Arabidopsis thaliana: one gene and its partners. The protein of the gene in region 2 interacts with the protein of the main gene of each other region in a pairwise test. Each region holds a gene or a part of one and is shown on either strand. Other genes may lie near its edges. The genes, in order: HSFA1E, BLH7, KNAT5 and KNAT2.

What was found.
Region 1: the proteins of BLH7 (region 2) and HSFA1E interact in a two-hybrid assay, tested with the Arabidopsis thaliana proteins (one large-scale study listed by BioGRID).
Region 3: the proteins of BLH7 (region 2) and KNAT5 interact in a two-hybrid assay, tested with the Arabidopsis thaliana proteins (one large-scale study listed by BioGRID).
Region 4: the proteins of BLH7 (region 2) and KNAT2 interact in a two-hybrid assay, tested with the Arabidopsis thaliana proteins (one large-scale study listed by BioGRID).

The regions. Positions count from the first base shown.
Region 1 is NC_003074.8:670,873-678,403, forward strand, and holds HSFA1E (heat shock transcription factor A1E), read left to right. Parts: upstream 1-2,555; 5' UTR 2,556-2,741; coding exon 2,742-2,987; intron 2,988-3,955; coding exon 3,956-5,116; 3' UTR 5,117-5,148; intron 5,149-5,248; 3' UTR 5,249-5,556; downstream 5,557-7,531. Other genes in the region: MCC1 (MEIOTIC CONTROL OF CROSSOVERS1), read right to left, coding at 25-148, 234-462, 563-662, 973-1,117, 1,198-1,343; AT3G03000 (EF hand calcium-binding protein family), read left to right, coding at 6,516-7,013. UniProt on the Arabidopsis thaliana protein: Transcriptional activator that specifically binds DNA sequence 5'-AGAAnnTTCT-3' known as heat shock promoter elements (HSE).
Region 2 is NC_003071.7:7,100,769-7,108,030, forward strand, and holds BLH7 (BEL1-like homeodomain 7), read right to left. Parts: upstream 3,161-7,262; 5' UTR 2,647-3,160; intron 2,473-2,646; 5' UTR 2,433-2,472; coding exon 1,881-2,432; intron 1,796-1,880; coding exon 1,416-1,795; intron 1,335-1,415; coding exon 1,274-1,334; intron 1,178-1,273; coding exon 722-1,177; 3' UTR 501-721; downstream 1-500. Other genes in the region: DRD1 (SNF2 domain-containing protein / helicase domain-containing protein), read left to right, coding at 1-324, 411-414; AT2G16405 (Transducin/WD40 repeat-like superfamily protein), read right to left, coding at 5,147-5,260, 5,366-5,442, 5,553-5,674, 5,807-5,982, 6,162-6,272, 6,382-6,429, 6,636-6,775, 7,015-7,152 and 1 more.
Region 3 is NC_003075.7:15,491,164-15,498,343, reverse strand, and holds KNAT5 (homeobox protein knotted-1-like 5), read right to left. Parts: upstream 4,356-7,180; 5' UTR 4,218-4,355; coding exon 3,675-4,217; intron 3,291-3,674; coding exon 3,170-3,290; intron 3,078-3,169; coding exon 2,878-3,077; intron 2,789-2,877; coding exon 2,657-2,788; intron 2,576-2,656; coding exon 2,436-2,575; coding exon of another isoform or gene 2,432-2,435; exon of another isoform or gene 2,351-2,431; coding exon 2,335-2,350; 3' UTR 1,963-2,334; downstream 1-1,962. Other genes in the region: AT4G32050 (neurochondrin family protein), read right to left, coding at 122-215, 487-582, 685-788, 968-1,104, 1,241-1,391, 1,529-1,724; AT4G32030 (uncharacterized protein), read right to left, coding at 5,337-5,525, 5,629-5,697, 5,777-5,839, 5,935-5,991, 7,058-7,180.
Region 4 is NC_003070.9:26,573,603-26,583,801, reverse strand, and holds KNAT2 (homeobox knotted-like protein), read right to left. Parts: upstream 7,317-10,199; 5' UTR 7,168-7,316; coding exon 6,895-7,167; intron 6,655-6,894; coding exon 6,520-6,654; intron 6,447-6,519; coding exon 6,308-6,446; intron 2,146-6,307; coding exon 1,904-2,145; intron 1,813-1,903; coding exon 1,657-1,812; 3' UTR 1,371-1,656; downstream 1-1,370. UniProt on the Arabidopsis thaliana protein: May play a role in meristem function, and may be involved in maintaining cells in an undifferentiated, meristematic state. Probably binds to the DNA sequence 5'-TGAC-3'.

The DNA of each region.
Region 1 (7,531 bases), on a different chromosome or scaffold from region 2:
TAGCTTCGGTTTGGTTTGCGAGGGTTAGACACAATCCGTGTCTTTGCAAAACAGCCATTTCAAACCTTTCTCATCCTTGTTAGCCAGCTTAGATGCCACTGACTTGATACCACTCTTCATATAATTCACAACAAACATCGCCACCTCTCTGCAAATTACAGTAAATTGTTGTAAACCATTATAGAGTACAAGAGAATCAAAGACTTGTTTTGTCTGTGAGTAAATCTCCTTACAAGGGTGAGCAAGGAGTTCGAGAACCGTTGATGAAGTAGACAAACAAGAACGCATCAAAATGATGTCGATTGATTAGATAAAATCCATGTAATCTCCGCACGCATCTGAACATCAATCTTTTGTACAAACAGATCGCAGCATTGTTGTGTGCAATCACATGAAGGTAAACTCCGCGACACACAGATAAACCGGAAGCATATTTAATTACCTCACTAATAAGTGACATTGCTGAGAGTTAAAAAAAGTTGCAGAAACATCAGAAATTATAAAACCAAGCAATATATAGAACATGTTTCAGATACTTATTAGTATTATAAGAGTCATGTACCGATTCCACGGTTTCTGTATGTTTCTACAACTCCGAGTGTCAAGATGTATATCAAAGTCTCCTCTCCTTTCGAGGAATCGTAATGTATAAGATCATCTATCTGTGCAAGACACAGAAACCATCTGCCAGCTGATGAAGATAGATAATAAGAAGATAAAAACAACACTAGACTCAATTGCATTACCAGAGCTCCCAAAACAGATTATTCAATCATAATTCAGACATTATTACAAGCCGCTGTTCTAAAGATTTTTGACAAGTGAAATAACTTTTATTTAGTGTACATGATCACAGACGAACCAAAAACCATAAGCATTATGAACTAGTTCAACATTCAAGGTGATTACAGGACCTGAAAGATCATTATTGTTCGAATTACAAAAAGACGAATTCATAGAATGAAAACTAACCTCGCTATCTTTGGCAAGCACAAATTTGGCAGTAACAAAACCAATAAGTTCATCAGAGTGATCATCAGGCCGGCTCCGATCAACAGCAGCCCATGAGACGATATCAACTCCGTTCACAACACTCTGGAAAAACTCAGACTCATACCTGACAAAACAAAAATCAATACTTTAGAAATCTTTTCACAAGACACCAACATAGGAAAATCCAAGTAGATGGATGCATACTTGATGGGGAAGATATCGCGATGGATTTGCTCCAAACGATCTAGATCATTAGGGTTTATAGGTCTATAGTGAATACTTGGGCAAAGAGAGATTCCTGCATCTTCCATTGATGAATCATCTATGAATCTTCGAGGAAATCGCGACATTGTTTGGTATCCGAAGAACCAGAAAAGCCACTTCCCATTGTGAAGTGCCAGATCACTGGATCCGACCCGTTGAAGTAAATGGATCCGGATAGATTTAACGAATCTGGATCTGAGTGGGTTTGTTTGGATTTGATTGGTTAATCTTCGGCGAAGGAATCAATCAAGAACCGAGTTTCGAGCATGGGAAAGAAAAAGGTGCTTGCTTGCTTTGCCCTCTCCTCTGTCTCTTGGGGCTTTTTCTCGTTCCAAGTGAAGCATCTTGGCTCGTGTGCTTTGCGACAACCAATCACGTGCCTCTTTTAGAAGGAGAGTACTAATGTACTATTTATGAATGGAATATTCGATTCTCTTAAATGAAAAATTGTTCCATTTTCAATAATATAACCATTTTTAACAATAAAAATTCGTACTGTTTTTTCTATCTGAAAAAAATGGATTTGAAAAAATTCGTACTTTCGATTCATAATCTGCTTTTTATTATTATTCGTTATAAGTCTGTACTATGGTAAGAGAACCTTAAAATATTCCCCTCCACAACAAAAAATAAAAATCAAACTGGAGAAGAGTTAGGCAGTAAAGGAGAATTTCCTTGCCCTATTAACTCGATTAGGCGGGCCAATACACTTGTTATGTGTTTTCCACTTTTCTTCGTTACAAATTTAGATTAGTCTTACATGATGAGCCGTTAGATATCATAGAAAGAAATAATCTTATAAAATTTGATAAGATTTCTATAATCCACAAATCTGGATCGATGTTTATTTCAGATTTATAAATATTGTCTTAAAAAAAAAATTATTGGCCGTCTCGGCGGCAAGCAGAGAGAGAGAGACTCAACGTTTTCGTAACAACAAAACTTTGAGTAGCAGAAAATTATCCAAAAAAAAACGTGAAACGCAAATGGAAAAAATTGAGAAAAGTAACGCGAGTCCAGTGCCACGTATGAAAAAAAGAGCTTAGGACCAGATACGTTAATCAGAAAAAGACCAGGTACGTACGTTAATTAATGTTTTTTTAAAAAGGCCAAGCACGTTAGTCCAGCCCACGTGGTATTTCTTATCTTAACAACAAAACTAATTTTTTAATTTAATAATCGGACGTTGCAGAGGTAATCAGATCAACGGTAGAGATTACGACACGTTATATCACTCTGCGAAACTCCACCGCTTTCTGGAATTAAAAAAATCAGAGTGTATAAATAAAAGAGCAGAGGTAAAAGCTATCTCCAGAGTTTAATATAAGTGTAGACAGAGAGAGAGAGAGCTTCTTTCTTCTTCTCTTCGTCGCTAAGAGATGATCTTCGAATATAAATCTCTGTAAGGTTTGCGAAGACCGGAGTAGTGAATCTCGGAATTGTTGAAGAAGACGGTACACCGGAATCAATTGCGATTTTGATTTATGGGAACGGTTTGCGAATCTGTAGCGACGGCGAAATCTTCGACGGCGGTGATGAGCTCCATTCCGCCTTTTCTGAGCAAAACGTACGATATGGTTGACGATCCATTGACGGACGACGTGGTGTCTTGGAGCAGCGGAAACAACAGCTTCGTGGTTTGGAACGTGCCTGAGTTCGCCAAACAGTTTCTACCAAAGTATTTCAAGCACAACAATTTCTCCAGCTTCGTCAGACAGCTCAATACTTATGTGAGTGAACTTCGATCGATTCTTTTTTATTTGTTTTTCTCTTCATTGATTCGATTTTCTTCAATTTCGTAGTTCGATTTTAGGGAATCTTACTTTATGTGCTTCATTTTTATTTTACTCTCTTGTTTTTTTTGTGGTTGAATTAAGCATTAGTTATTGATAAAACTCACGAATGATTTAAGGTTGCAAGAAGGTGCTTTGAGAAGTCGACTCCTATTTAGTGTATAGTATGATGCTACTGATTGATGTTCCTATATAGTTGTTGACGCTGGTGGTTGAACTATGCACGTCTAGTAGGTTGTGTTAATGTTGATTTTAGTTGCACTAACTGTTAAGATTGGATCTTTTTGGGTTCTGACAAACTCGTGCAAGATAATTTCACATATTTGTATTGTTCTTCAGTTGTTTTTTGTACATGTATACCCTGTGAACTGCAGGCATATATGTTTTTGTTTTTCTAAGTATCTGAGCTTGCATCCGTGTCTGTGAGGCTGGAATGAATTTTCTTAGGTCAAGCAAAACTAACAAGTGTATACTCTTGCGTAGCTTGTTCCTCCCCTGTTCTTATTTACTTACCAAAAGGTTCCACGAACTTTGCAGGCTTATTTGGACATGTGCTCATATGTGTCTGACGATTGGTTGATTCAGCACTTCCATTTCTGGCCTCTTAAGTCACAAAACAAAATTTCTATCAGTTGTCCCATGTTAGCTTTCCATTCGTTTGTATTTGTCCGTCCAGGTACATGCCGATACACTAACAACTGTATTAGTTTCCTTGGACCATGGTAGTTTGGTGCTGCAGCTAGACCCAGTGAACGTATCATACCATATCTAGAATAGTTGTTATTAACGTATTTAATGGTCTTTATGTTTATACAAATCTTCTATGTTGGCTTCCTATTGCAACGGAATCCAAGTAACTTCTTGCGGTTGATGACTGTTCCATTCTCCATGCTTCTTTTTTTCAGGGTTTTAGAAAAGTTGATCCAGACCGCTGGGAGTTTGCAAACGAGGGCTTTTTAAGAGGCCAAAAGCAAATACTAAAGAGTATTGTCCGGCGAAAACCTGCACAAGTGCAGCCTCCACAACAACCTCAAGTTCAGCACTCATCTGTGGGTGCGTGCGTTGAAGTGGGCAAATTTGGACTCGAAGAGGAAGTGGAAAGACTTCAGCGCGATAAGAACGTCCTTATGCAGGAACTTGTAAGGTTGAGGCAGCAACAACAAGTTACCGAACATCATCTGCAGAATGTGGGGCAGAAAGTTCATGTGATGGAGCAGAGGCAGCAACAGATGATGTCCTTTCTAGCAAAGGCTGTCCAAAGTCCAGGTTTCTTAAACCAATTTTCTCAGCAGAGTAATGAAGCAAACCAACACATTTCTGAAAGCAACAAAAAGAGGAGGCTACCTGTTGAGGACCAGATGAATTCTGGCAGTCATGGGGTTAATGGTCTTAGCCGCCAGATTGTGAGATATCAGTCATCGATGAACGATGCAACAAACACTATGCTTCAACAGATACAGCAGATGAGTAATGCACCTAGCCATGAATCTCTCTCAAGCAATAATGGTAGCTTTCTTTTGGGCGATGTTCCAAATTCTAACATTTCAGACAATGGGAGCTCCTCAAATGGATCACCTGAAGTTACATTGGCAGATGTTTCATCCATTCCTGCAGGCTTCTATCCTGCAATGAAGTACCACGAGCCTTGTGAAACAAATCAAGTCATGGAGACCAATTTGCCTTTTTCTCAAGGTGATCTCTTACCTCCAACGCAAGGAGCAGCAGCTTCTGGGAGCTCAAGTTCGGATCTTGTTGGATGCGAGACAGATAATGGAGAGTGTTTGGATCCAATAATGGCTGTTTTGGATGGCGCACTCGAACTAGAAGCTGATACCTTAAATGAGTTGCTTCCTGAAGTCCAAGATTCTTTTTGGGAACAGTTCATTGGTGAGAGCCCAGTGATTGGTGAGACAGATGAGTTAATCTCAGGATCAGTGGAAAATGAACTGATATTGGAGCAACTAGAGTTACAATCAACCCTGAGTAATGTGTGGAGCAAGAATCAACAAATGAACCATCTTACTGAACAGATGGGACTTCTCACATCAGATGCTCTCAGAAAATGAGATTGCCACAGGCCACAATCTTTCCTCACGAGGTAATCAGTCTATCTATATTGATATGTTATAAACCACACACTTTCCAAAATTTAAATTTTGTGCAAAACCAAACCCCTCGTCTTTGTCTTGTTATCGCAGATGGGTTAAGATTTTGTGGAGCCGCAACAACAAAAAGAATATGACCAAAGGAGGTACTATGTATGTATGTATCAAACTGTTGTAACTCTAATTCTTGTCAATGTATAATAAAATAAGAGAAATATTGCCTTAAAAGATTTTTGCATTGCAATATCTTTGTTTGTTACTGACAGAATGAAAAGGAGATGCTTCAAAGTGAGAGATATTCTTCTGTTCTTGTGTATGTCTTTAGAGATCCTTGTTTATTTTTGTTACATTAAGTGCAAAAATTGGCATTTTGGTTAACCTGTGGCCAAATCTTACCTGCTTTAGTGTTTTTTTATCAGTCCTTCACTTTTAGTTTCTTGAGTAAAACTAATGTTCCAATTTCGTCTAAAGGAAATCATCTAAAGAGAGAGTAAAAAGGAAGAACGTGTGTCGTGTGGATATAGTAACAAAGTGGTTTAAAAGGATCAAGTCATTGATTACACGGAATCAAAGTGTATGTACATGCATATGTTAAGCTCTGAAACTGCAACCGAACCAGATCCATTTGTCGTTTGTATCAATCTTAAACTTGCTTTTAACATTACATACAACATTACATATGATATTACCATTAGTTGTAATTTATATAGCTTATATGATATATATCTATTTCTGAAAACTATATAAATATTTTACATATGATAAATTTCACAGATATCTCATGGATATATTGCTTTAAAAGAGGATATGAACATTAATAAACATGTAATTTGTTAAAAGAATTGATAAAGACCATATATTAAGGATAAAATAGTTACTCTGAAAGAAAATTTGAACATTCATGCATGCAATATATAACGTATGTCGAACACTCGATTCATATATAGCTAACAAATGTCGAAAATATTATCTTCTTTAAAATACGAATCAAAGCTATAACATTTTTCTATTGTCAAGAAATCTTTTGGCATCCATTTCTACAAACCAGTTCCGGTGAATTAACGCTTAGCACGACTGTTTTCCCTCCACCGAACAACCTTTGACCGTTCCAATAATTGGTTCAATTAATAATTTAATTTAAAAAATTTCGTATTCCATCCACAATCATTTATTTGATTTAAATAAAATAAAATTTTTATTCTCTTGCTCATTAATAAGAAAATCAAAATCTTTACTCGTTTGAAATTTGTAATCCATTACCTGTCATCGTTGACTTGTCAAGAAGAAACAAATCAACTCTAAAAAGAAAAATGTTGTTCATCGAAATCGAAGCTTGACAGTATTCAAAATCAGATTCGAGATGAGCTGCGACGGAGGCAAACCGGCGCCGGCGAAACTAGGCGACGAACAACTAGCGGAGCTCCGGGAGATATTCCGATCATTTGACCAGAACAAGGATGGAAGTTTGACGGAGCTCGAGTTAGGCTCACTTCTAAGATCTCTCGGTCTAAAGCCGAGTCAAGACCAACTCGACACATTGATCCAGAAAGCAGATCGGAATAACAACGGACTGGTCGAGTTCTCCGAGTTCGTCGCCCTCGTCGAGCCAGATCTGGTCAAGTGTCCTTACACGGATGATCAGCTTAAAGCCATCTTTAGAATGTTTGACCGCGATGGAAACGGTTACATAACGGCGGCGGAGTTAGCCCATTCGATGGCGAAGCTAGGTCACGCGTTGACGGCGGAGGAGTTAACGGGAATGATCAAAGAAGCTGATCGAGACGGCGATGGTTGTATTGATTTCCAAGAGTTTGTTCAAGCGATTACTTCAGCTGCGTTTGATAATGCTTGGGGTTGAAGAAAGAAAGGTATATATATACATAGTTTGAAATACTTGTGTTTTGTTTTTTTGGCTTCATCCTCAAATCAAAGACATTTGGAAGTATATGTGTGTAGGTGCGATTCCATGGAAAATGTGTGTTATTTATTGTTTCATATTATTCTTTGATGAAATTTTGATAGCTTGAAGAGAAAGCTATCATTGTTGGTTTTAGGGCAAGAAAACTTTGCTATGCGTGTGAGTCACTTCTCCACCCGTCGCTTTAGCCACTTTAGTTTATGGAGATAAAGGTCTCTCAATATGCAAAACAAAAGAAAGCATCAAAACTGACTCTTTATCTTTATATGTATGGGGGATAATCAGCAAATATCGTATGATTATGATCTTCTAGTAAGACAATTGCACAAATTCATGTAAATTCGAAAACGATCCCCAATAATGGTTAAGGAGAAGGGAAAACAAATTTGTCACCGAGATATGTCAAATGATTTGTGAATCCAAGAGTTATTACATAGATTTAGCCCACATGTCTTCTT
Region 2 (7,262 bases):
TATCTCGCTTGTTGGAGCATCTCGCATACTAATATTGGATGTTCCCCTAAACCCTTCTGTGACCCGCCAAGCTATTGGGCGAGCGTTTCGACCCGGACAAAAGAAGATGGTGCATGCATATAGATTGATTGCTGGGTCATCACCTGAGGAAGAGGATCACAACACTTGTTTCAAAAAGGAAGTCATCTCAAAGATGTGGTTCGAGTGGAACGAGTACTGCGGATATCAAAACTTTGAGGTAGAGACGATCGATGTGGATGAAGCTGGTGATACGTTCCTCGAAAGTCCTGCCTTAAGAGAAGACATAAGAGTTCTCTACAAAAGGTAAAATCAGTTTAGATCAGATCCACACATAACTCTTCAACTCACATTTCTCTGTTATTGAACTTCCTTAATGCTTCTTTTTTCAGGTAAACGCAGACAGAAACTTGTGCTTCCGCTTTTTGGACATGCTTAGGTTTTAGAAACCTGTCAATAAGATAACTTCGGGTAGATCCTTTTGAATTTTCTGAATGATTGTTAGCATTTTAAGTGTAATTTTAATGTCAAAACATTTGATCTCATGTACCTCTAACCATATAATTAGGTCTCCTCATGTTTAAATATGAAACAGATCGTGTCTAATCTCAGATTGTCTCCTCATGTTTTCTCATTAATCTACAATTTCGTTTTTTGGGTTTACTTTCACAAAAGAATCCATTTCTACACCTTTCTATTCTCCTCAAGCTACAAAATCATGCAACAATTGTGAAGAGCCAATCTGGTGCTGGTGGTTGCGAGAGTTTAAGTACTGTAGATCGGTTCCCGAGATGGTATTCTTGTAGTTATCTATCCCACCGGACATAGGAACATCGCCACGAGCATCGGAATTCTGAATCCCCAACGTTAAAGACATCCCACCATTACCATTTCTTGTCATGTCAGTCACCATCATGAACCGGTCACCACCATGGGCCACTGTGTTTTGTCTCATGCTACTGCTTGCCACACCAGGTACATGCCCATTGTTGGAACTAGACTCAGTTTGCAGCTCTTGAATCTCGGTGATTTCTGGTGTGTTTTCAGAAGACTGGTTGGGATCATTCTCCTGCAATGCATCTGTGAATTCCTCCTTGTACATCTCCTCCACCATCGGTTTCCAGAGACGCACACGCGCATTTATGAACCAGTTCGATACCTTTCAACAATCATCAAACGAAACAATGAAAAATGAACACACCAGAAAGAAAAGTATTAAATGAGAGAAACGGCACAAAAGCTAACAGTGCAATACCTGGCCTCGGCTCAACCCCGTTTGTCTAGCGAGCATGATCTTGTCTGAATCCTTTGGATAACTAAGCTCAAGGTTTTGAAACAAATGGTCAGAGTCTCTTGTGGTCAATCAAAAAATTCACAAGAGTAGTAGAGAGACTTACGGGTGGAGGAAATGCTCAAATAGCCAAGCACGGAGAACCAAAACAGAAGAATCTGGTAAACCGCGTTGAGGCCGCCAAGTGTGAGGTTGCATCACACCTAACCGCTGCAACGCTCTTTGTTGCCTTACCTGTTGATCAACATTCCTTAACCTGCTTATCCCCACTCCTCTCCCATCTGATCCATCCTGTTCCCCTCCTAAACTTTTCCTTATCACCAAGATTTGTCCGGATATCGCATCCCTTAAGCAACGGAAATGCCTCGAGATGGTCTGAAGCGCAAGGGCTGTGTATGGTTTGGCTGCTCCACATCCGGCTATTACATCGAAAGACGACACGACTATCTGCATCTGATGGTAATACTGCTTGTAATTTCTATCCACCTTCAAACAACAAAGAAACAAACAACATTTATGTTACCACGAGAATCATTAACAAGTGTAGAAGATATGTTGTAAGGCGGATTACCTCGTCTAATATCGATAAAAGTTTCGACAACTTGCTCTGCAATTCTTGCCTCTCTGCTTGAGGGATTTCAGCAGTATTCGTCTGAAGATTCTTCTCTTTCACTTCATTAATCTTATCTCCCTCTGGCTGAAACTGCTTTAGAGCTTTCTTAACATTAACAGTTTCATCAAGAAGCTCTTGAGCAGCTTTGAGATACTTTGAGTTGTGAATGGTTCGAGTAAATCCCGAAACAACCTGTGTTGCATACTCATTGTTATTATTGCCTCTCGATGTCTCAATCTGCGAGCTGAGGCCAAGACGCCTCATCACCGGGAAGCGATTCCTGTCATTGTCTTCTTGATCTCTCCAAGAACCAGAATCTTGAATCTCAACCATTTGTGAAACTCCACCAAGGCTTGACAACACTTGAATCTCTTTTGAAGGTGACACATTATTAGTTGAATCTCTAGGAAATGTCTCTGTGAAAGAATTTGTGTAGTTCATTGCGTTTCCAGGGACAAATTCTGGTCTGGAATAAATCTCACTTGAGCCAGTTTTGTAATAAGTGGCCATAGTCTTCTTCTTCTTATGATCAGATCAAACAAGGAGTCATCTGTTTCAGAATCAAACACAAACAACACTAAACCCTTTTTATACTTCACATTATGTAATAAAATCTTAATTAAGCAAATTTTAAGAAATTGAACCAATGAAAATTATGAGAATTATCTCTCTGCATGAATTTAAGAATTTAAAAAGAAGAAGAAAGGATAGATTAAAGAATTACCAGGAAAGCATCTGCTGGCTTTGTGGGTGTTAAAGGAGACACTAAATCTCAAATTGAAGAAGGAAAAAAGAAATGTTTTTTTTTTTTTGTTTTAACTCTTGATGATCCCAAGAACACAAACTTAACAACAAACTCTTTATCTCCTCAAATCAAAATCTTGATAATACAAAATGTTTTACCCACACAAAAGATTCAAGAAAACAAAAGATCCATCCTCCTTAAAGCAAGTTTCCTTTTTGAAGTAGAGATTTCATTAAAAGCTGGTTCTTGAACTTGCTTCTTGATTCTTCTTCTTGTTTCTTGGAGTCAAGTCTTTTGGTGAAGATAACAAAAACAGATCAAAATGTTTTCAAGAGTAAAAATGTGGTAAGGAGATTATGTTCTTAACAAACCAGTTGGTAGAGATCTAAACCCTTTTCTAAAACCTAATCCTAAACCCTAATGCCTCTCTCTTTCGTCTCTCTGGCCTTTCTGTTTGTTTGCTGCAATAAAATTGAATGAAGCTATAACCACCATACAATCATTTTCTGTGTTTTTTATATTCTTATCTAAAAATATTTGATATATTCCTGATTGGTGTCAATAGTAAAAGATATTTTCGTAATTCTTCTATAATAATGTGTTTATCAAGCATATTTGGAGAATAAGACAAATATATAATGAACGTTTTTCATATCTAATTTTGGTGCTATGCAATTTTTTAAATATTTCATGTCCGATTTGTAATCAAAGATAATATTAATTTTTGTGTAGACTAGTCCATCTTTATTAGAGTGGGGAATAATTTGGGTAACGACGTGTCAAAGTTTACACACGGATGTTTTTTTTCAACTTCTTTTCAATAAAATAATTTCACTTTTTTGGTAAGCTTTTTACAGTTTCTTCTTCTTTGTCTTTAAATTTCACTTTCAAGTTTCAACATTTGATTTTTTTTTGTTCTTTCGAATAATATCTGTGATGGTCCACATGCTATTTACTATATAGTTGCATTTGCATACAACTATTTTTGCAAGGAATAAACAAAAAAAAAACACTTCATATTCTTATCTCTTTCTCATAAATAATGAATAAGTGGCCTTTTTCCCCACTTAGCTTTGTCTTTTTGTGCCCACAGATTTTAGGTATTTCTACAAATTTTCTAACTTTTACTTTCTTTTCACTAAGTGTAGGTCCATATCTTGTCATGGAGGACTTTACGATTACGAATCAGAAACAAATTGAGAAAATCCCAACTCCAAGACATTTTATAATAAGTCTGATTTGTAGTATAAGGTGGTACGAAATGGTGGTAAGAGGTAAGTCAAATTAAAATGTGTGGTGAGATATCTTAGTGTGATAGAAAATGGTGGTACCACCTTTTCTTACCAACACACTGAAAGGTTATAGTTTTTGCATGGAGAGACCAAAATAGACTTTTTGTGAATTAAGTGATTTAGTTATTTTCTATGAAAAAAAAAATTACGAAATACACAAGAGTTAATTTTGTGGGAAAACATAGGTAAGCATTTTATTTAAATTTACACTTCAAAATATGAGAATAAAAACTTGAAAAGAAAATAAAAATAGTAAATTGGGGTGGATAAGTGAAGAACGTGAAATGATGGGTAGCGAAGAGAAAGAAGTCTGAATTGGGACAGAGATGGCAGAAGGAGAAAGAGAGAGAGAGACCTGGACAATGGACAGATAGAGTCAGTGGATAGGGAAGAGTGTCTTCATAATATACGACGACCAACCAACCCTTCTTCTTATTATTATTAATCCAATATGAACATGACGCCGAAGATATTTGCTTGGGAAATAAGAGAATTGTAAATGTTAAGTTTTTATTAGTGCCCTACTTACGTTGAAGTTGAGATTCTATTGCTTTTAGTAAAAGAATTAATACACAAAACACTCGGATTCTTTTTGCTGGTTGAAATACGTTTAATTATTAGCATGATTATCTAGTCCAACCACTTCCACACTAATATAAGCACCAAATGCTCATCAGTTACATAATTTGAATTCAATATAATCCTAGAGCCACATTTCTCTAAGAGAACCAAGTATCATATTCCATTTGGTCCCCTGAAGAATTAGATGAACCAGCTTGCCGGAACTTGTTGAACCTGGGTCTCTTGGGTGAGAGCTGAGTATCTTGACCAACTAGACTACAATGGAATGTTGTTTATGTAATCTTCATTAATTTTACTGATAATTAATCTGGTTCATGATAATGTGACAAAACAAAAAACATTGCGAGTACAATTAACTTGATCTCTTCAAATTGTCTACCAACTTATCTATGGAAAGAGTTATTAACTCATTAAGGACGTGTCTGTTCCAACCATTTAAGCTATTGAATCTGTGCATAGGAGTGTCACAGAACTATATCTTTATAAGAGATGGGAAACTAAATTGACACAGTTTTGAGATTAGCGATACAGAGATGATGCCAAACCCAAAGCCTTTGTGGCAAAAATGACGGATTTAGATTCATTTATAATATTATAGACAAACCTTATGAGCTTGTCTTTGCTCTTTTCCATACAATGACAACACCATAGAAATCAGACGAAGCCAACAAGTTCTCCCCATGGTTCCACGCAACACACATTACTGGAAACCTGTGACCCTGCAAGCATCCATTTCTCACAACTCGTGAATCCTGTTTCCTATAATTCAAAATCCATACACAAAAGTTTCAGATAAAAAAAAAGAAAAGAAGTTATTGTCTAACCTGTAGCTTGTTTACACATGTGTGCTTCGGTTTGGTTAGATCATAGAAGTAGACATTCGAGTCTTCGCTTCCAGCAACTGTAGTTTCAAACAAGAAGAAACGCGGAGAAAATGACTTGCACTTCTCAAGAGACCTATGAATCTACTATTACCAAAACTATAGGTAAATGAAGGATTGAAATTCAAACCTATGTATTCTCCTTTCTCTAGTGATAATAGCGGGCAAAACGATGCTTGGATTCTGTGTATTCGCGGGGCTAATTTGAGGGAGCAACGCAAAGTCAAATAACCTTTTATCTGAAGGGCAACACTGCATCACCAACACAAAGCAGAAAAATCAATTATAAGGATCTCTAAGGACCTTGACAAAAAAAAAAAAAAAAAAAAGGATCTCTTAAGGAAAAACAAGAAAGAAAAAAAAGAAGTAGTTCTGTCGCCAAACCTAAAGAAACTCAAGTTTCCGTCCTGAGTACATGTGAGCAGAACAGGGCCTGATGCCAGGAGGGAGAAGCTTCTGTACTTCACAGTGGTGACAGGAGATTTGTGATTTGTACGATGACGATGAGACCGGGATAATGACCCTGTATGCGAATCCATGCTTACTGAATATACAGTTCCCTGCAATTATTATTAACTACCTTGTAAAAACAATGTAGAAATGCCTTTTTCTAGCATACCGAACAAATGCAAAAATTGATCAGTCTTGACCACAACATAGGTAATCGGTATAGCCAACCATAACCATAACAGACCATCTCCCTAGTTTTTATCTTTTTACATCAGTATAGAAAAGTTACCTGCCCATCTCCACAGAAAATTATTTGGCCAGTGTGATCATGGTCCATAGATGTCACCTCATCCTCAAACAACAGTTTTTTAATAATTCTCCCAGTGCTGAAATTGAACACCTACTTTGTCAAGCAGAGAGATGTTAGGCATAAAATAAGTAAACAATTAGAAAACAAACGAAAAAAGCAATACACTAATGTACTTAGCTACAAGGAGTAGTGAAGTTACCGTGAGTTCCTTGTTTGCATTGCCAGCAGAGAGGAAATTGTTATTAACCTGTTGAAAATATGGAAATGAAATATCTTCAATGGAGAAGCAAGAGAAAACAACAAAAACCATCCGCACTCAGTATCTTATATGAGACGACTTTCACAATCAAAACAAAAAGTTGCAAGTTGTTACAAGGGAGAAATATATAGATGATGAAGAACATCTTTGACAAAAAAAAAAAAAAAAAAGATGATGAAGAACATCAAACTTACAGGGTGGAAACGGATACAATACTGTGGAGAGATTCCATATATAACTCTAATACAAACGCCTCTTGACAACTCCCATACTCGTATTGTCTTATCAAGTGATGATGACGCGATGTATTGATTGTTTGACGAGAAGTCAAAATCTGATAAGAAGTTTGTATTAATATTAGACATAGGATCTAAACCCAATGACATACATACACACTTATGCTCTATCCATTACAGATAATTCTTTTACATTTTCCACTCAAATCTTACCCCTAACAAAGCATAGAAAGTAGGTACCATGTATCATCATATTCTCAGATTATTCAAGAGCAATTCAGTGTAGCAGATACTGAGATACAGAAAAGACAAAAGTAACAGTACCAGTCAATCGAACCTGTGACATCTTTAGAGTGACCTGTCAACTGCTTGAGGACAGAAGGCTCTTCTAAGAGACTACAAACTGTTAAGCTTCCATCTGATGCTCCATATGCAAGTATATCAGAACTCATATGACCAAACTTGAGAACAGTAACTGCATAAAGTTAGACATACTCACTCTTAGAACAAAAACCACAAAGCGAATCGACGAAACATAAACAATAATATAAAAAATTACCAGAAGATTTGCATTGATCGAAGATG
Region 3 (7,180 bases), on a different chromosome or scaffold from region 2:
TCTTAAGTATCTTGAGAGGATTGTTGTCATATAACAAGTAGATGAAATTCAGGGCTGGCAAGAAAAGAATGCCATTAATGGGTATGCCATTTCCAGTGTTCCAAACAAACTACTAACTTACCCACACGGTTCTGCAGAATTGCCACAACACCTGTGCGCATATAGTCTGCCCAATTGTTGTCGGGCATGGAACGAAGAGGTTCATGAAGAAGTTCCTAAGCATAACGAACTTCTATGAGAGACATATAAAAAGATAAGCACACAAAACAAAGATGTAGAGCTTCTACAATGGAAACATAACATGCATATTAAATAACATCAAGACGATGAAGGCAACTGTATTTCTCCAAGTAAAGGAAAATAAAACTTTAATTTTTCCAATTTCAATGGACAGAAATTTTGAAAATTTAGCTGCATTAAATCTACATAAATCATGCTAGTAACTATAGATACTTTTCCGGAGGAAGTTAAGAAGTGAAAACTCACAGAATACTCTGACGAGAAGACTGCAGACAGTAAATGGAGTGCTTCAAACTTCAGGGCATTATGCAACACCGCAAACTGCCGTGCAACAGCAGCAATCTGAATAAAAGTTAACATTATGTTTGGAGTCCAACTTCAGCATTGCAGCTTTAGTAAGTATTGCGAAAAGAAAACAAAAAGTAACCAAGTAAGTAGACTCACCACCAAAGACAGTTCTAAGAAGCGTTCAATAGTCATGCTCCCACAATCAAGCTTACTAACCAATAACTGCAGAATCTTTATAGCAACCTCCATGGCATGTGAACCTGAATAACATGTCTCACATTAGCTCCCAGTGAAAAACTATTATCAAATCCATCTACCTCAACATGGCACGTTTTCTTTGACACCAAATATAATCAATCCGAAATAGCATTCAATGGAATCTAATGTGCATCATATACACAACAAAAGAATGTAAACCCAATGAAAGAGTATGTATTACCATCAGGTAACTCAGACATCTGGGGAGCTATCACTCTCAAGCCTCCAGAGTTAATCAAAGTCATGAGACCAGCTTCACAAGCCGTGGACACCAAATACAGAAGCTCATAGCAATCTTCGAGCATGTTTGTAGTTATTCTGAAATTCCAAAAGCCAATTTCCTAACTTTAGGCAATCACAATATGCAAAAAGTTGAAGACACAGAAGCAAAGCTTGATTAAAAAAAAAACTTCATGGAAAGTCGCAAATGCAAGAATCAGGTGATCTAACATACCCTTTGGACATTACTTCGAGAATAAGGGGAATTCTGGAGACCATCTCTTCTGAAGAAGCTATCTCCGGAACACGGCAGAATGCAGCAAGAACAGTGATAGATATCTGCAGATACACATCACGATTATCAACCCCATCGCCACTGCCACTACCTGCAAAACAAAAAATCGAAACCAGTCAGAGCAACAAACTTTAGTATCTCAACTAAAAAATTCACACTTTGTAGAAACCCCAAAATTGATATTAGTATTTACTGAGACAAAGATCAATAATTCGGGGTTTTGATTACCAGTACGGAAAAGACGGTCGAGAAAGTGAGTACCAACGGCTTCGTAGACCTTGTTGAGAGAAACGATGTCATCGTTCTTACAGAATTTGGTGACGAGAAGTAGACCGGCGAGCCTCTGCTCGTCTCTCTCCCCTTTCAATAGCTTAAGGCAATCGTCAAGCGACGGAGATCGTTCCTCCTGTGGTGCTGCTGCCATAATCACCCAACTCAAAGAGTAACAAAAGTAGACCAAGTCGAGAGAAAGGTAAGCAAAAAAAACTAAAACAAAAGCCGTTCGTTGGAGAAGCTGAAGGAAGAAGAAACAAGTCATTAAGTCGGCATTCAGATTTTGGGCCAAATACCAATGGGCTTTGTTAATAATACAAGTGAAATCATTTAAAATTATCGATATATTAAAAATTGAACCATATAAAAACCGAGCCGAACGTAACCATGCATCAACCGGTGAGAGAAATCAGACGAACACAACAACATCGTAATACTACATTTCAAGCTAGTTTAATTATGATAAATATTGCTTGATACATTCATTACAAACGAACATATTGACACTTTACAAGAAAAAACCCACACTTGCTTAAGCGTTCGTTACAAGACGCAAACCAACGAAACAGATCACTTCCAAAAACTACTAAGTCGTTACAAACAACAATTTGGACTCCAGAATCCGGTTTCATAGGCTAACCGGTATCCACTATACAAATAACACACTCTGTACGAGCATAGAACCGGATTCGTTTCTTTCATATACGGTTCCCAAGAATTCACATGGCAAAGAACCATCCTCTAGTTAGCCGCTATGTCACCTACGACTTCCCGGTCCTGAGTTTGGTTACAAAAGAAGATCTTGACCGGGTTGGTTTAATGAAATTGCGCAATTTGAAAAAGAGAACGGATCTTGTTTTACCGTTTACGTTTGTTCTTGGTGAGAGTAGATGACGTGGAAGAGTTGCTGTTCCAGTTTCTTTTCCTCTGGTTGATGAACCAATTGTTGATCTGTTTCAACTGCAAACCGGTTTCTTGAACCAGTTTTGCCTTATCTTCCTCCTGCAATTCCAAAACCAAATCACGAATTAAAACCTTGCTTTTGACAATGTGGTAACAAAACTTCTCGGCCAAGGTGTTTACAGTTGGGTATGGCCATTTCGAGTGAGTTCGCCACCATTCTTTGAGTACAGAAGTCGTATCTCCTGGCAACTTTCCCGCCCTTCTCTTCCTCATTATCTCTTCTCTTATGTCCACAATCTTCTCTTTGAAACCCTACAGGGGAAAAAAGAAACCGAGCAACATGATTTAACAATGTGTTTTGTATAGTTTGATGTACCATTGCAGCTTGATCAAGCAATTACCTGTTTAAGCTCATGCTTCAGTTCTTTCTTCACACGTTCCATCAAAGATCTCTCTCTCTCGGTTGGAACAAGAGGACCAAACCCCATCAAGCAATCTGAACCGTCCAAACTTCCATCAAACATGTTCACCTCGCTCTCTACTTGATTATCATCTTCATCATCCGACATTGTCTTACCATTACTTTCACTTGGAGAAACTCCTACAAACCAGAACAAAGAAAAACCGATAAAACCAAGACACACATAAAGCAAGAAGACAATAACAAAAAAAAAAAATGATTTGGGACGTTACCAGTTAGGGATTGCAGTGATTGTTCAATCTCCCAACAAGCCGTAATGGCTTCCATTGCATGGACACAAACGTGGTGTTGGAGTTGTTCTTTAAATGAACATAACAAGACAACATAATGTGACTGCATCAACATAATAATCAAAGGTAAGATTCCAATCCATAAGACATACAAACAGAACGTTACAAAAAATAGATTATGCTTTCTTTCTCTTGGACATGCAAAGTCCTTTTCAGCAAGAATCAGACAAACTATTAGTCATCAAAGAAGAAGCTTTATGCAACAAATATAACTTATTTGAGTCAGACAAAGTTCATAATTCGAATTACAAGCTAACCAAAAAAGTAGAAGCAAAGATCATATCGATTGCAAGACTCGAGAAGCGGGAACAATGAGCCACACAAAAATGTGAATTTGCTATACTCAGATAATCAAAGAGAAATAAATGGCTGAATCGTTCACAGTTCAAAACATTAAAATTTTGCAAAATTAGAAAGTGAAACTTACCATGAAATGATCAAGTTCCTTGTTGTCAACAACCACACCAAGAGTGGAGTATTTCGCGGCGACGGTATGCAACTGACTGAGCTGAGCATCGATCCTCGGAATCTGGTCAACGGGAGTCGCAACCCTAAGGCAAGCCACGTGAGCCGCAAGAAGCTGCTCGTACATCGGATGTCTTAAAATCGCCGCCTTATAGCTAGCACTCCGCCAATCTTCACCTCCTACAACGCCGAGTATCGTTTCACCATCGGCGTTGACTCCGTCGATAACTTCAGAACGTACTTCTCCAGTATTTTGCATCTCCGAATGAAAGGAGAGCCAGCGTGGGTTTGTATCAGCAACGGAATTGTCTCCGTTGCGGTGCGGAGGAGCGAGATCGGAATCCGCAGTGGTAAGGGTGGTAGGGAGGTTGAGGAAACTGGCGGTGACAAGCGAAGGTGTTTCAGAGAAGTGACGCTGCGGCGGAGGTTGCTGTGATTGATCGGTGAAGTGTCGGAGAGGAAGGTCTTCTTGTGGAGGAAGGAGGTGGGAGCTGTTAAACGACATTGTTTTCCTGCGTTTTTGGGATCGGAGAAGAGAAGACTGTTTTCTCTTTCCCCTAGTTATTTATCTCTCTGAAGACCAATATTTTTTAATTAATCTTGAATTTTATATTTATATATATTTTTTTTTTTTTTGGACTCTACTTCAATCTCTTTGTTTTAATGTCAACATAAAGCCTGTAACCAAAATGAAGCATAAAATAACTCAACCTACAAGAGCCTGTAATTCTGTAATTCACAAGTTTTGTGAGCAATGATTTGCTTACAAAACTTCTGTTCTAGAGTGTAATTTTCTTCTTTAGGTCTTTATTCTCCAAATTATGATAAGTATATTTACCATTAAACTCATTGTAGATATTTTTAAAACCCAGATATTTTTTTCTTTTTTACATGAAGGAATGTCATTTTTTTTTAATCTCTATACACAAAAGACTTGGGATCCATGAAAAAGAAAATAAGCTCATAAACAAGTTGGCAATTTTTTCTCAAATTTATTGGGCATTTAAAAACGAATCTTTTTCCATGAACACGCCGACAACCCACCAATAGCATTACACCTCCCAAGTTTATATTATAAAAATTCAAATTAAATAGTAGAAAAATGAATGTCCAAAGAGATTGATAGATCTTCTTGTCTTGGATTAGTTGAGCGGAAACTAGGGTTTTAATATAATAATGTATGGAGAATAGTGAAGAAGAAAATGTTTGGAACATAAAAAGTCTATTAGTTGTCCTACTTTTTCCTCTTTACAATTTCCAACAAAAGCTTTTAAATCGGTACAAAGAGAAAGAAAGAAAAAAAAAAGTAGTTAATTTTGCATTAAAAATTGATAACACCATCTATTTAAAACAAATTTTTTCTTCTAACACATCAAATTAAAGAAAACAGAGAGGGAGGGAGGGAGGGAGTAAAAAGTAAAAACCTAATTTTCACCCTCTTCCTAAGAAAAAATCAAGAAGTAATTGAGCATTTTACCCCAAAAAAAGAAGGAAACGGAAAACCAGAATGTGACGGGAGAGTTTCATTACACCACTTATTACATTCACTTTTCTTAGTTGACATCTCTAGCTCCCTTCTTCCCTTCACTATAATTCGATCGCAAATCTTCATATAGGCCAGTTTTTAGCTAGTTCCGTACAATATCTCTTCCTCGGATGGCGCCATGTTGAGATCAGGGAGGACGAAGAAACTCCCCTGATTTTGCGAGTCACTGGTTTTGCAAGATTTTGATCCCTGTAGCCGCTCGAGTTGTGATTTACGAATCAAATCAACAGGTTTCTTGTTTGTGACACGGCCTGAGTTTAAGTCAAGCTGAAACAAGAAAACACAAGAGTCGATGAGACCAGCAAATAGAGAGAAGGGATCTGGAATATCTGATTACTGTAAAGATGGTTAGGGAGAATCTAAATGTTACCTTAATCCTCTTCAGCTTTTGGTTCCTAAGGTTTTGTTCATCGAATGTTGCTCGGAGACTTGCAATCTCCTGTGGAAAAATATTGGGTTTTTTTAAGAATACAATGAAAACCATGATAATAAAACAGAGAATAGCAACGAAAATCTACCTTTTCAAGGTCAAGTCTCTCCTTCAACTTCAAGTTCTCTTCATTTTTAAGCTCAAAAGATGACTGCCAAATATTAAAAGAATAAAAAACCATCAGCTCAATAAAATTTGAATTTTGGAGTGTGTACTTGAAATTCAAAAAGGAGACTTTATATTTACCTTCCTCTTCTTCAATCTCTTGGAGAAACAACTGGTGATTTCGTTTGTGGGAAAAACCTGCAAAACAAAAACGCATTTGATTAGTCAACTATTAAATGGCTGAAGATAACGACAACTGTTTTACTTTTATAATCAATACCCAAGATCTTATTTTAACATACCGGTAAAAAGTTTCTTTTCCCACAACAGAAATTTCAAACAAGTAAGAAAAATATATCGAAGAAACCAAATAGAGCATAAAATTAAAAAATCTCAAATATATAATTGGGAAAGAATTTTTATAGTGAGGATTTGATGCCACATCATGATTATTCCGTGTCATGGGCATTGTCATCTATCGTCATCACTCTTTTAAAGATCACGTGATACCAATCTCTCCGACAAGATCATTTTACTCGTTTCAACTTTCAACCCACAAAACGCTACCGTCTCGAGCATCAAAACGTTCAATAAAACGCGGACGCGTTTGACCAACTAGCTGTTAAGCTGTACTACCCCCAAAATCTAAAAGGAGCTTTAATTATTCCTCAAGACAAAATTAAAGTTGACCGATTTCTAAAAATCCACATCTAACCGGCCACGCAAGATCCGGTTCAATGCGTACCGAGAAAAACAGGTCTCTTATTAAGCTTTGTTACAGAAGATTAGTAGAGTTTTCTAATTACAAAAAATGAGCAGAAAACAAGGAAATTAAGCTTAAAGTGGCTTTGACTTTTTGGAGATTAGATGAATTTAACCTAGAAGCAGGATGGCTCCGGCCGACGGTGTCATCGGCGAATCACGGCGGAGGAATTTTTTCCGGTGAATTTGTTAGAAGTTGAAGAAAACAGACTAAATACGTTCTAGTGAGAATTGAAGCGTGCGAGAGATGACGTCAGGCTAAACTTTATGGATTTTAGGAAAAAAAATGAAGAAAAACAGAGAGACGGCCAAGGATCTTCTCAATTACGAACGGCTAAATCCAGATTTATCGGCCAGATCGGAATCGGATTATCCAGCGAGATGACGGATTTGCCATCTCTCCGGAGCTACCGGATTCGTAATTGAGAGAAAGAAGATAGAGAGAGAAGACTAAATCGAGAGGCAAAAGTTGAAAATCACGATAGGGAAAAGAGAAAGTTACCTTAGATCCAGATCCTGTAGATGTAGAGCAGCTAGCTTGGCGACTGTTATCCTCGAATCCATCGGCGGAAGGAGAAGCAGAGCCGCCACCACTTCCAGATCCGCCGCTCCACGAGAGAGGAGT
Region 4 (10,199 bases), on a different chromosome or scaffold from region 2:
TCGTTCCCATCTTTTCATACCTGTTCGCTTGATGATGATCCATGTAATCCTCGAGTTCATCATCTCAGAATCGTAATTGATTCTCTCACGTCCTCTCTTTCTTGACCTAATTGAGAAGGAAGAGATCGGGGGCAGTGAAAGCGAGGAGCACCTAAGAAGACGATTCCAGGACCTAATCTAGAAGGAAGAGATCGGGAATCCAAGTACGATCAACTTTTGATCAAAGACAGAGGAAATTATACAATAGACAGAGGAAGATTCCGGCGAAACTCCAAATTTCTCCGGTTTAACACACCAAACGGGGGAAGATGAATTGCGATGATAGGAGACGACAAGTATAGAGAAGAGTCAAAAACGAATGAAGAAGACGGAGAATTTCGGAGGAGTTGCAACAAAGACGCAGCAGCAACTAAGGGCTTTTCAGACGAGTTCACGGTGGTCTTCGAATGGGCTTTTTTCATTGGGCTTTCTTTGCTACAAAATCCAACAAGGTATTATTTTTCTTCAATTATTATTTTTTTTTCTTTTCTCTAAAAAATATTTTTTAGTAAAATTATAATTAAATAATAATAGTTTTCACTAAAAATTTAGAAACAATTTAAAACTTAAACTTTAAGATAAATAATTCTTAACTTTTAACTAAAACCATGTATTTCACTATTATTTTTTTAAAATTAGTTTAAGTGTTAAATTTTAAAAACGTCGGGAACTAACCGCGCCTAGGCATCCCGTCCTTAATTGGTCTGTAAGTCTTGAAGTGTTCGAAGTTCGGTAATGTTTTCACGTAATATAGATTTGACACTTCAACTCATTTTTAAAAAATAATAATGATTTTCACTAAAAATTTAAAACCAATTCAAAACTTAAACCTTAAGATAAATAATTAATAATTTTTAGTTAAAACCATGTTAATTTTACTAATACTTTTTAAAAATTAGTTTAAGTGGTAGATGAGGCTTGAATAAGTGTATAAGAAAAACAAAATACAAATCGTTGAGCACAAACTAAAATCTTGTTATAAACCACTGAGAGAAGCTAGATAGTATAGGTAAGTTATCTTATGTATCATACTTGGTAACAAAAAAGAAGTACTCAATAATTCCAGCCCTAGGTGCAATTTCTTCAACCCACCCAAGCTTCAAACATTTATCTTTACCACCCCCAGTAACTTCCCACATCCTTACTGTACGATCTTGAGAACTGCCAAGACAGATATTTGAATAGCAAGCAACAATTGATCAATTAGAGACATTGATACAAGTAGTATAAGTAGGGCTGGGCATAAAATCCGAAATCCAAAAACCGATCCGAAAAATCCGGCTCCGAAACCGAGCCAAATAGTCACAAAATTCGAATGGATAATGAATTCTTCTACCCGAATGGATAATGAAAATAAATTATTTAGTTGACACATCAGCTATCTAAGTAAGGTTCAATACAAATAAGAAATCTATCAATTTGGATGATTGGAAGATTAGTGACATAATATTGCCACTATTTCCAATACAATGTCTCGTTACGCCCTTGACCGTTTTGGCTAACGGGTTCCATTCATTCGCGATGATGCCCCATTTACCAAAAGCTTTTTACTGTTTTCTTTTCTTGGAAAAACAGTGTAAAAATTATACAATGCACAATTTCATGTCTCTCTTTTCATTACTCGGTAAAGAATGTTTCATTAGAATCGTCCATCATATCAAACGGCATGTTCTCCGAAGGCTTCCAATGGCGTTTCCTTTGGTTTATAAACCAATTGTTGATTTGTTTTTGATCCAAACCTGTTTCTTCAGCCAGAGATATTTTGTCGCCTTCCTATACACATTCGAGAGGCGGATATTAATATGTCGAAGAAATAAATTAATGAGTGTATGCTAGGTTACGGTGGAATCAGAAAGACACTTACAGTAGGGTAAGGCCATTTATTATGAACATTCCACCAATCGAGCAACGCTTGTCTTGCTTCTCTTGGTAGCTTCCCTTTCTTCTTCTTTTTAGAGAACTCGAGTTTCAATGAACTGATATGGCTACCAAATTTGCGTAGTAGCTGGTCCTTCAGATCGCGGTCATTGCTTCTTTGTTGGCTGTCATCCGCTGCTATGTCATCATCTTCTCTCAGTTCCTCGTCAGATGAAACCGCACCATCATCTGCTCATACATGAGAATAATGTCATACAGAAGATTCAATAATGATTAGCTCCCACGTATTAGCCAAATACGTGCCATACCGATAAAATGTACTAGGAGAATGTATGGTGGTGCTATTTATGGTAGCATATTTGACAATGTAGAAAGCAAATTCTACCACTATGCCAACACTAACAAACATAGCTAACACTAAGATACTAGTAGGCTCGGCTAAATGACTAAGTGGCTAAAGCAGCTAAAAGAAGAAAAGAGCCAAAAAAGCATAGAGAAGAGAACAAGGGTGAAAGAAAGGAAAAAAAAAAAAAAAAAAGGGTGAAAGAAAGGGGTAAAAGGGGAAAAACAAGGATAGCGAGATAATATCGAGGTTTTACAAGACCCGGGCACAAAAATGATCAGTCAAAAACTTTCGCAGTCACTGAATAGTTTAGCTTCCATTGCCACTGACGTGCTCCTTTGGGACTTACCACTAGCCACCTGAGTCACGACACGTATCACCTTTCTGACACTTGTTTGAGTGACCCCCGGAAAAAACGCTTCCCCAACATTTATGAACTTTCTCATAATGCCCCATTTATGACCATACCATACTGACCCCTATGTTACTGCGACTAAAAGGGAGCCTAATTAAGGGAGTTTAAACATGATTAATGGTCAAATTATTTGCATTAATAGAAATTTCACTTAGTATTCTCAACTTAGTGATTACAGAAAGACATCGTTTCAAAGTCTCCCTAAAGAGTTTAGGTTGTAGTTTGCTACACCACTAATGAGCTGATCCTTAGACAAATCACACAAAATATAGTTCACACCCTATCCATGAAAACTTTGCTAGTTGAGGATGGTATGTGCAATAGTAACTCGGTTTGTTCTTTACCTATTAGCCGAATTTGGTTCCTATATAACATCAAGACAATGCGAAAGAGACAACATGCACTGATAAAAAAAAAGTAGATAGACTTGTACATCTCCCAAAAAAAGTTAAACACGTGGAAATTGCATGGCCCATTAAGGGAACAAACGCAGAGAGGAAATGACAACCACTAAGCAACAGTAGAAAAAGATGTGGAGAAACATTAGTCGTAAGATGATTGCATTGTACATAAATCAAAACCCATGTCTCTCCCCTATTTTCTTCTCTTTCTTTTTCTTTAAAATCAAATCAAATCTTAAAAAGAGAGTGTTGCGATTGGGTCATAAAGGGATCCACCAACGTAATCCACGGGAGTCCATGTGACACTTGACCACCTCATGCTTCTGTCTCCAACTTCTTCTATTTAGAAATTAAAAAGGGCTAAAAGATTTCTAATTCAAGCATTTGGGTGTGTTTTTTTGTGCGTGTCAAAAGGACCATTCTATCAACGAAGGTGATATAACCAAACAGATTATCAGTATTATCATGTCTAGAACTGGTGAAGTAACTAATGTGCCATGACAGAGTATTTTGTTCAAAAGAACATGCTTTTCGAGTTTCCTACGAACATTGAATGAATAGAATATCATTCACAGCCAAAGATATATCTAGGGTGAATGCATAGGGACCTAGGGTGAATGCATTTTACAACACAAAAATACTAGTTGTAGACTGTAGTGAATAATCTTAAACAATAGTCCTAAATTCCACATATGGATACAAAATCGCACATGGATCTCATTGTATCAATACACCATCCGAACACCAAATGATTAGAAGAAAATATGAGGATGGAACAAAAACCATGGCCAAGATTGACCATCTTAATCACGAAAAGGGTCAATTGCACACTAAAGCGAGAACGAAAAAAATAAGTAAACACAATTGCTATGACAAACATCAGTTGACTAAAGAGGATTTGGTTTATTCCTAAAGCATATTAGCACGAAAAGAAACCAAAAGCACATGACTCTGAAAACTACATATTATGAGTTATACTATTAGTTTAAGATATTCAGTTGAAAAGAAAGTCCTTTCTCGGGACTTAAGAAACAGAAAAAGGTATTGACCAAGGAAAAGATGTTCATAAGGTAATATATATTCCTTCAAAATCATACATGAGATTACGCTAAAAAGGTAAGTGGTACTTCAAAACCATTAAAAAACTAAACATTCGTCCAATAAAGATAAATTCAAGCTGCAAGTGATCTGTTTTTCAACCTTTTGGACAAGATTATTCCCTATGTAAACTCCAATTAATTAAGTACGCTGATAAGTATTAACAACTTTTCGGAATTAAACAATGCTAACAAAGTACAACCGAAGCAGCATTTGATATCAACATATAAGAAAAAGAAGACTATTAAAGCTGAATTCCACTATATTGTAGTTCCAATTTTTTTCCAGCTAGTTCTTATCAGGTGGAGATGAAGAAGTAAAATGATTACTTTAAAATCCCTAAGATAGTGAAATACTTTACTTATAAAAAATATACACACGTATTCTGACAACATGAACGTGGCTAAGTAGATTAGTGTAGATTAACAAGAAACTAATTTTTGCCCTGTTGGAAAGGTTTAACCAATATAAGCTACAAAAACAACACAAAGACAACTAAAATTACATTCTTTTAAGAAACCTACTATTCCTTATTTGGGCTGCTTGTAAAATACTTACAAAGTTCTATTCTGCTTAATTAAGAAAACAAATGGTGGAAAAGAAGGTACCATTAAGTTTAGTTTAATACCTCGGCAAATTAGTAAACCTCACTTACATTGTGTAAGTGTCTTAATGCATTTCAATCATTTATTTATTCACATAAAATTCCAACAAGAATACAAGAATAACAGACACATTAACCACGACATGCAGAATATACAAGCCTCTTGGCCATCAAGCATTTTTATGGACTTACATGCGCATGAGCTCAGATTAACTGAAATCCAACAGAGATTTGGTTTAGCTTTTTCGAGCTAAAGAAACACAAAATCCAACTATTTGACCTGATCAAGACACTTCTTTGGTTTACTAAGTCAGATAGGTTCGTGAAAATTAATCACACCAATGATTTTGTACATGTAATTTGAACACAGTGGACTTCAAATGTAAGACCCTTAGGTGCAAATACAATGTATTCAAAAATAAGGGCTAGTGTCATTAATTTTCACATACACTAAGAAAACAAATCAATCTTATGTTATACTCATTATACACAATAAATTTTTATCTCTCTAATAGTAAAAACTAAAGTGACATGGATAAAACTTAAGTCTGACACTTTCTATGGAAAAGTAGTATAAACTTTGGTTCATTCACCAAGAGAAGTTGGAGTAATCAAGAACTAGTAAAGTTTTGTTTTACCCATCAGTCTCTTAATGAAGATGAAAACAAGCGATACTACTAGAGATCTAAACATGAAGCCAAGGACAAACTCAAGAAAAATCAGTGGCATTTATTAGTGGAAGTTATGACTAGGTTTTTTCTCTATGATTGAATTTTCACTGGAAATAAGCAATTAAAAAACTTCCAGTACGACACTGAAACGTCAAAATCAGAATCTCTAGCGCAAAAGTTTTTGCTTTCATAGACCCATATTTTCTTCTGACAGAGGAGAAGATAATAATACAAGTATATATAAAAGTAACAAAAGAAAAGTATACCATACCAAAATCACTAGGAAAATAAATATCACTAACAGAGAAAATCCTACCCACCGGCTTTCCCCTAATATCCGCCCCACAGCTTAAACCATAGCTAATGATAGAAAATAAATGTCACAAAGATGTGTGAAGGTCATGGATCTATCTAAAGCATGAATGACTTCTACCAAATATAAAAGATGTGGCTGAATCAATCATTGTTTTCTAACAAAACTAGGGTTTTAGAGTTTCCTTGTTTTTTTCTGACTTTTATTGCCTTGGGTTGTCTAAACCGGATCTACTAAGCTCCTCCTAGTTTCAGCTACAACAACTTATCGATTCTCGTTTTCTTTAAGGAAAAAAAAAACAGTAGAAGATTTCCAATTTTTCCATCAATTCCAAGAAACTGATCATTGAAGCACAGAAAGGAAAAGTTATCTGAGGATAGATTTTCTAATCCGCAAGATCTGTAACTGTAAGGAGAAATTTGCGCAAGGATTTTAAAGGACACACAAACCGAGGATAGTGCTCAAAGATCAATAAAAACACTAGCTAGGAAACAAGAAATCAAAAGTACACTCGAACAAGAGATAGATATCACTTTAGTGCTGACCTGAAAGAGCTGTAGCAGACGCTGGACCAGTGCACAAGTTCTGAAGCTGCATTTCAATCTTGTTTATGAAAGTTGTAGCCTCGTCGAACGGCCTCGCAAGATCGGTTTTGTATTTAACCAATATATCACAGTAGGTTTCCTAGAATCACACCACAAAAAAACAAAATTATATTTTAAGAAAAACTAGAAGATCAAAGTTCAAGGCAACGAACAAAGTGAGAAACCATGAATTCATCAAGCTCAGGATCAGCTCCAAAGCAAGATAATGGAGCAACATCTCTCTTGTACACATGGTTCTCTCGCTGAATCTCTTCCAATATACACGCTATTTCCATAGGCGCTCCCACCTGTCAATCAATAACCAAAAAAAAAAAAAAATCACTCTCACATATAAACACAGTCTCTCTAGTTCTCCAATCTTATCTTAGGGTTAAAGTGGAATAGAAAAAAAAAAGTAAGAGAACTATCTTTAAATACGACGATGAATACATGTAAAATTCCTGACGCTTAATCAAATTAACCTTGAAAGCACAAAATCATACACAACAAGAAAAAGAAAAGACAAAACACGAAAGCAGCGAGATCACCTTTTGGCAATCGATGTAGGTTTGGAGTAAGCGAGGATACAAAGGATGAGAAGCGATTTTGGATTTGATGACACTAAGAGAGAAATTATCCTCAGCTTTTCGAATACGCGGAAGCAACTCCGAGGACAAAGCGGTAGCGAGTTCGTCGGATCCAAACAGTCTTTGATTGTCTCCGGTGGTTGAACAAATCAAAGACTGATAATCGGACGGCATCATCAACGTCGCTTTCTCCGAATAGTCTTCCGTCGAGCGGAAACCACACATTCTATCCATTAATGTGATCGTAGTGAGATACGATCAGTGATCGCCGCTTCTTCGATCCCTAGCCTTGTGCTTGCTTCTGAAGAATATGAAGAAACACAAAAGTAAGAAGTAACAAACTGCTTCAAAGAGAGAGAGAGATAGAGACAATGGAAATAGATAGACTGGCCAAGTTGAGGCGGTCTCGTAGTATAGTAGTCTGAGGGCAATGATCGTAAATATTTCAGCAAAAAACCAAAAAAAAAAAAAAATGATTTGTGACGAAAAGCAAAAAAAAAAAAAAATCACGAATATGAATTTTCATAGTTTATTATGATAATTTACAAGTTTTTCTTAAAGACACCATAATTTTTATTTTATTTTGTCGTACTAGTATAAAAGAAGAAAGATTTCAAGGGTTTGCCATATGTGTTAAGGAATACGATTCGAGTGATTATAAAAAGATTTCTTCGTGATTCAAGAGCACTTTTTTTAACTGTACGATTACATGGTTACGATTATTTTTGATATATAATATTATCGCACAAATGATCAAAATAGCACGCTAACCTTTAGAATTTATGACTTAGCTAATGAAGACAACAATTAGTACTTGTTAACAAAAACAGGTTAGACGATGGTAATTTGAATTTTGACAGTAAAAACAAATGATGGTAATTTTGTTAATTAATAAGCTTTTTGTTTCAATTACGGTGGCCGACACCTACTAGGCTACTACGATTCTAGTTGTCTAACCGGATCGGTTCAACTTCAATTTCACTCTTTCAATTTTCACCTAGTTTTGTTTCTCTGTAAAACACGTCTATGGTAGCTAGGTGCTCATTATCAATCACAACATAGTAAACAATTTTTGTTTTTTAATTGCTTTCAGTCATTTGCTAATTAAACACACTCTTAGGAACTATTTTTTATAGTGGCCACTCCACTTATCGCACTTCTTGTTATTTTCATAGAGAATCTGTTAGTCGCGTATAATATCAACTCAAAATGTTTCATTACCTTATATAGTAACAGAACCTGCAGTTTTTGTCATAAACCAAAATCCATCTATAAACCCTGTTGTAAGAAAAAAAACTATATTTTTGCATGGGTCTACTCCAGACCCGATCCGATGATCCATATCGTTTTTTCCGCAAAAAAAAATAAAAACAAATGTCATAAAGGTCTTTTTGATGATGGACAGGTTTGATTGACACATCCGTCGGACTACTTTGGTGTGAAATTTAACTGACATAAAGCTTTGTTTTAGTATCAAACCTTATAAAAACGACAGAACTTTCCTTCTCTCTCATTTCACTTCGTTGGATCGTATCGTATTGAATCCCCACCGGTGGCCTTCACAGCACATATTTATATTGTTTCTAAACTTTTCTGTATTTTTTGGGGGGGGTCACAAGTTTCTATAATCTATATGATCACTATCGTCGAGAAATGATTGCAAAAAAAAAATGTGTGTCTTGCAGAAAAAATAATAATAACAAAAAGTGACGACTAAATTATTAGATCAAGTGCATATAATTATGTTGCTAAGATAATATTGTACCACTCGAATGTTTCATCATGGATTGTTCATACTGTTCCCGTGATTTAGTGTTGTTAGGTTTCAATTCTTTGTATTGAGGTTTTTGTTAATATATTATTGTACCACTCGGTTGCTTCAACTTTGTAGGAGTTTATTGTCATTCTTTTTTGTATCTCATATCATCAATATGTGGTTTTGAACAAATTTGTTTCTGTTGTTAGAAATGTTACTGAAATTGGAGATTACTTAGCTTCTTATGGATTTTATTTATTTATTTTGGGAATCCCAGGTCTTAATACTCTCCTTTGGTTGTTTCTCTTTCTTTCTAAGTAGTTTTATGCTATACAATTACATGTTATCAAAATAATCTTAATATGGTTTATAAAATTTTATATGCTTGTCTTAATATGTTATGTTTTAACAAATATTGTTTTTAGTCATCTCTACATAACGCTTGTAACGAACTGAAATTTGAGATTACTATACTAAACACTGAGAGACTCATTTTTAATTAACTAACATATAATTATAACTTAACCAAAACATATCAACGTACCTGTAAGAAAAGTGGACAAATTAAATAGCCACCAATAGTTTTTTTTTTTTGTTATGCAAACAACTGATCACAGAACCACTTGATCTTTTGTCTCTTCAGCAATGGTTGCACCAAAACTTTGGCCGGGGACTTTATAGACCAAAAAAAGTAAAATATGGATTATTTTAACTTTTATACTGAGGAATAAATCTTTTGAAATGGAGCTTGGAAACAGTGGAGAAGAATAGTTTACTGGGACAGGAAACATGAGCATCTACTAAATCTAATACTTTTTTTTGTTAAAGATTCTAATCTCTTTTTCTCACGTTAAAAAATTGCTGTTGACGACAAAAAAAAACCAGCTTATTATAAATTACTGTTTAGCTCATTGATTTTATTCCCATGATCAGGGGATGTCGTGGACATGCATTAAAACGAAAACAATGCTAAGCATCCTGATGCAATGTGTTTTTGTTTCTATTTTCAAATGTTTCTTATGAAGTGGTCCTTTGCGTTTTGTCTGTGGTCCTTCAAATATAAAATTTGTCTTTCTTTAATTTCGTGGAAGTTTGCTTAGAAGAGAAACTGTTCTACCATCTTCCTTCTATTCCTACTACAGTATAGTAAAATTAGAACATTGTAGAAATCGATAAAATAAAGTTCGTCTCGTTTATTAATTTGTAGTGTAACTTTCTTGCTCTGTTTTTTTATTTTTGGTGCTAATTTTGCTTATGTATTGTTATATAAGTTATAACAACAATATAATAAAAAGCGTTACATTTCAAAAATATACACCAATAATTTTGGCACTCACACTATCAAATGTTCGTTTACATCAGAATTAATTGATACTTACACGTACAGAATAAATGCAGAAACTTCAAATTGAAAATTTAGTAGAGTCAACGATAAGGGCAAGGGAATTGGGCTCCAACTGTGCGGGTGAGATCAAAAACTCAAAAGATACATTAATGGAAAGTTAGTTCT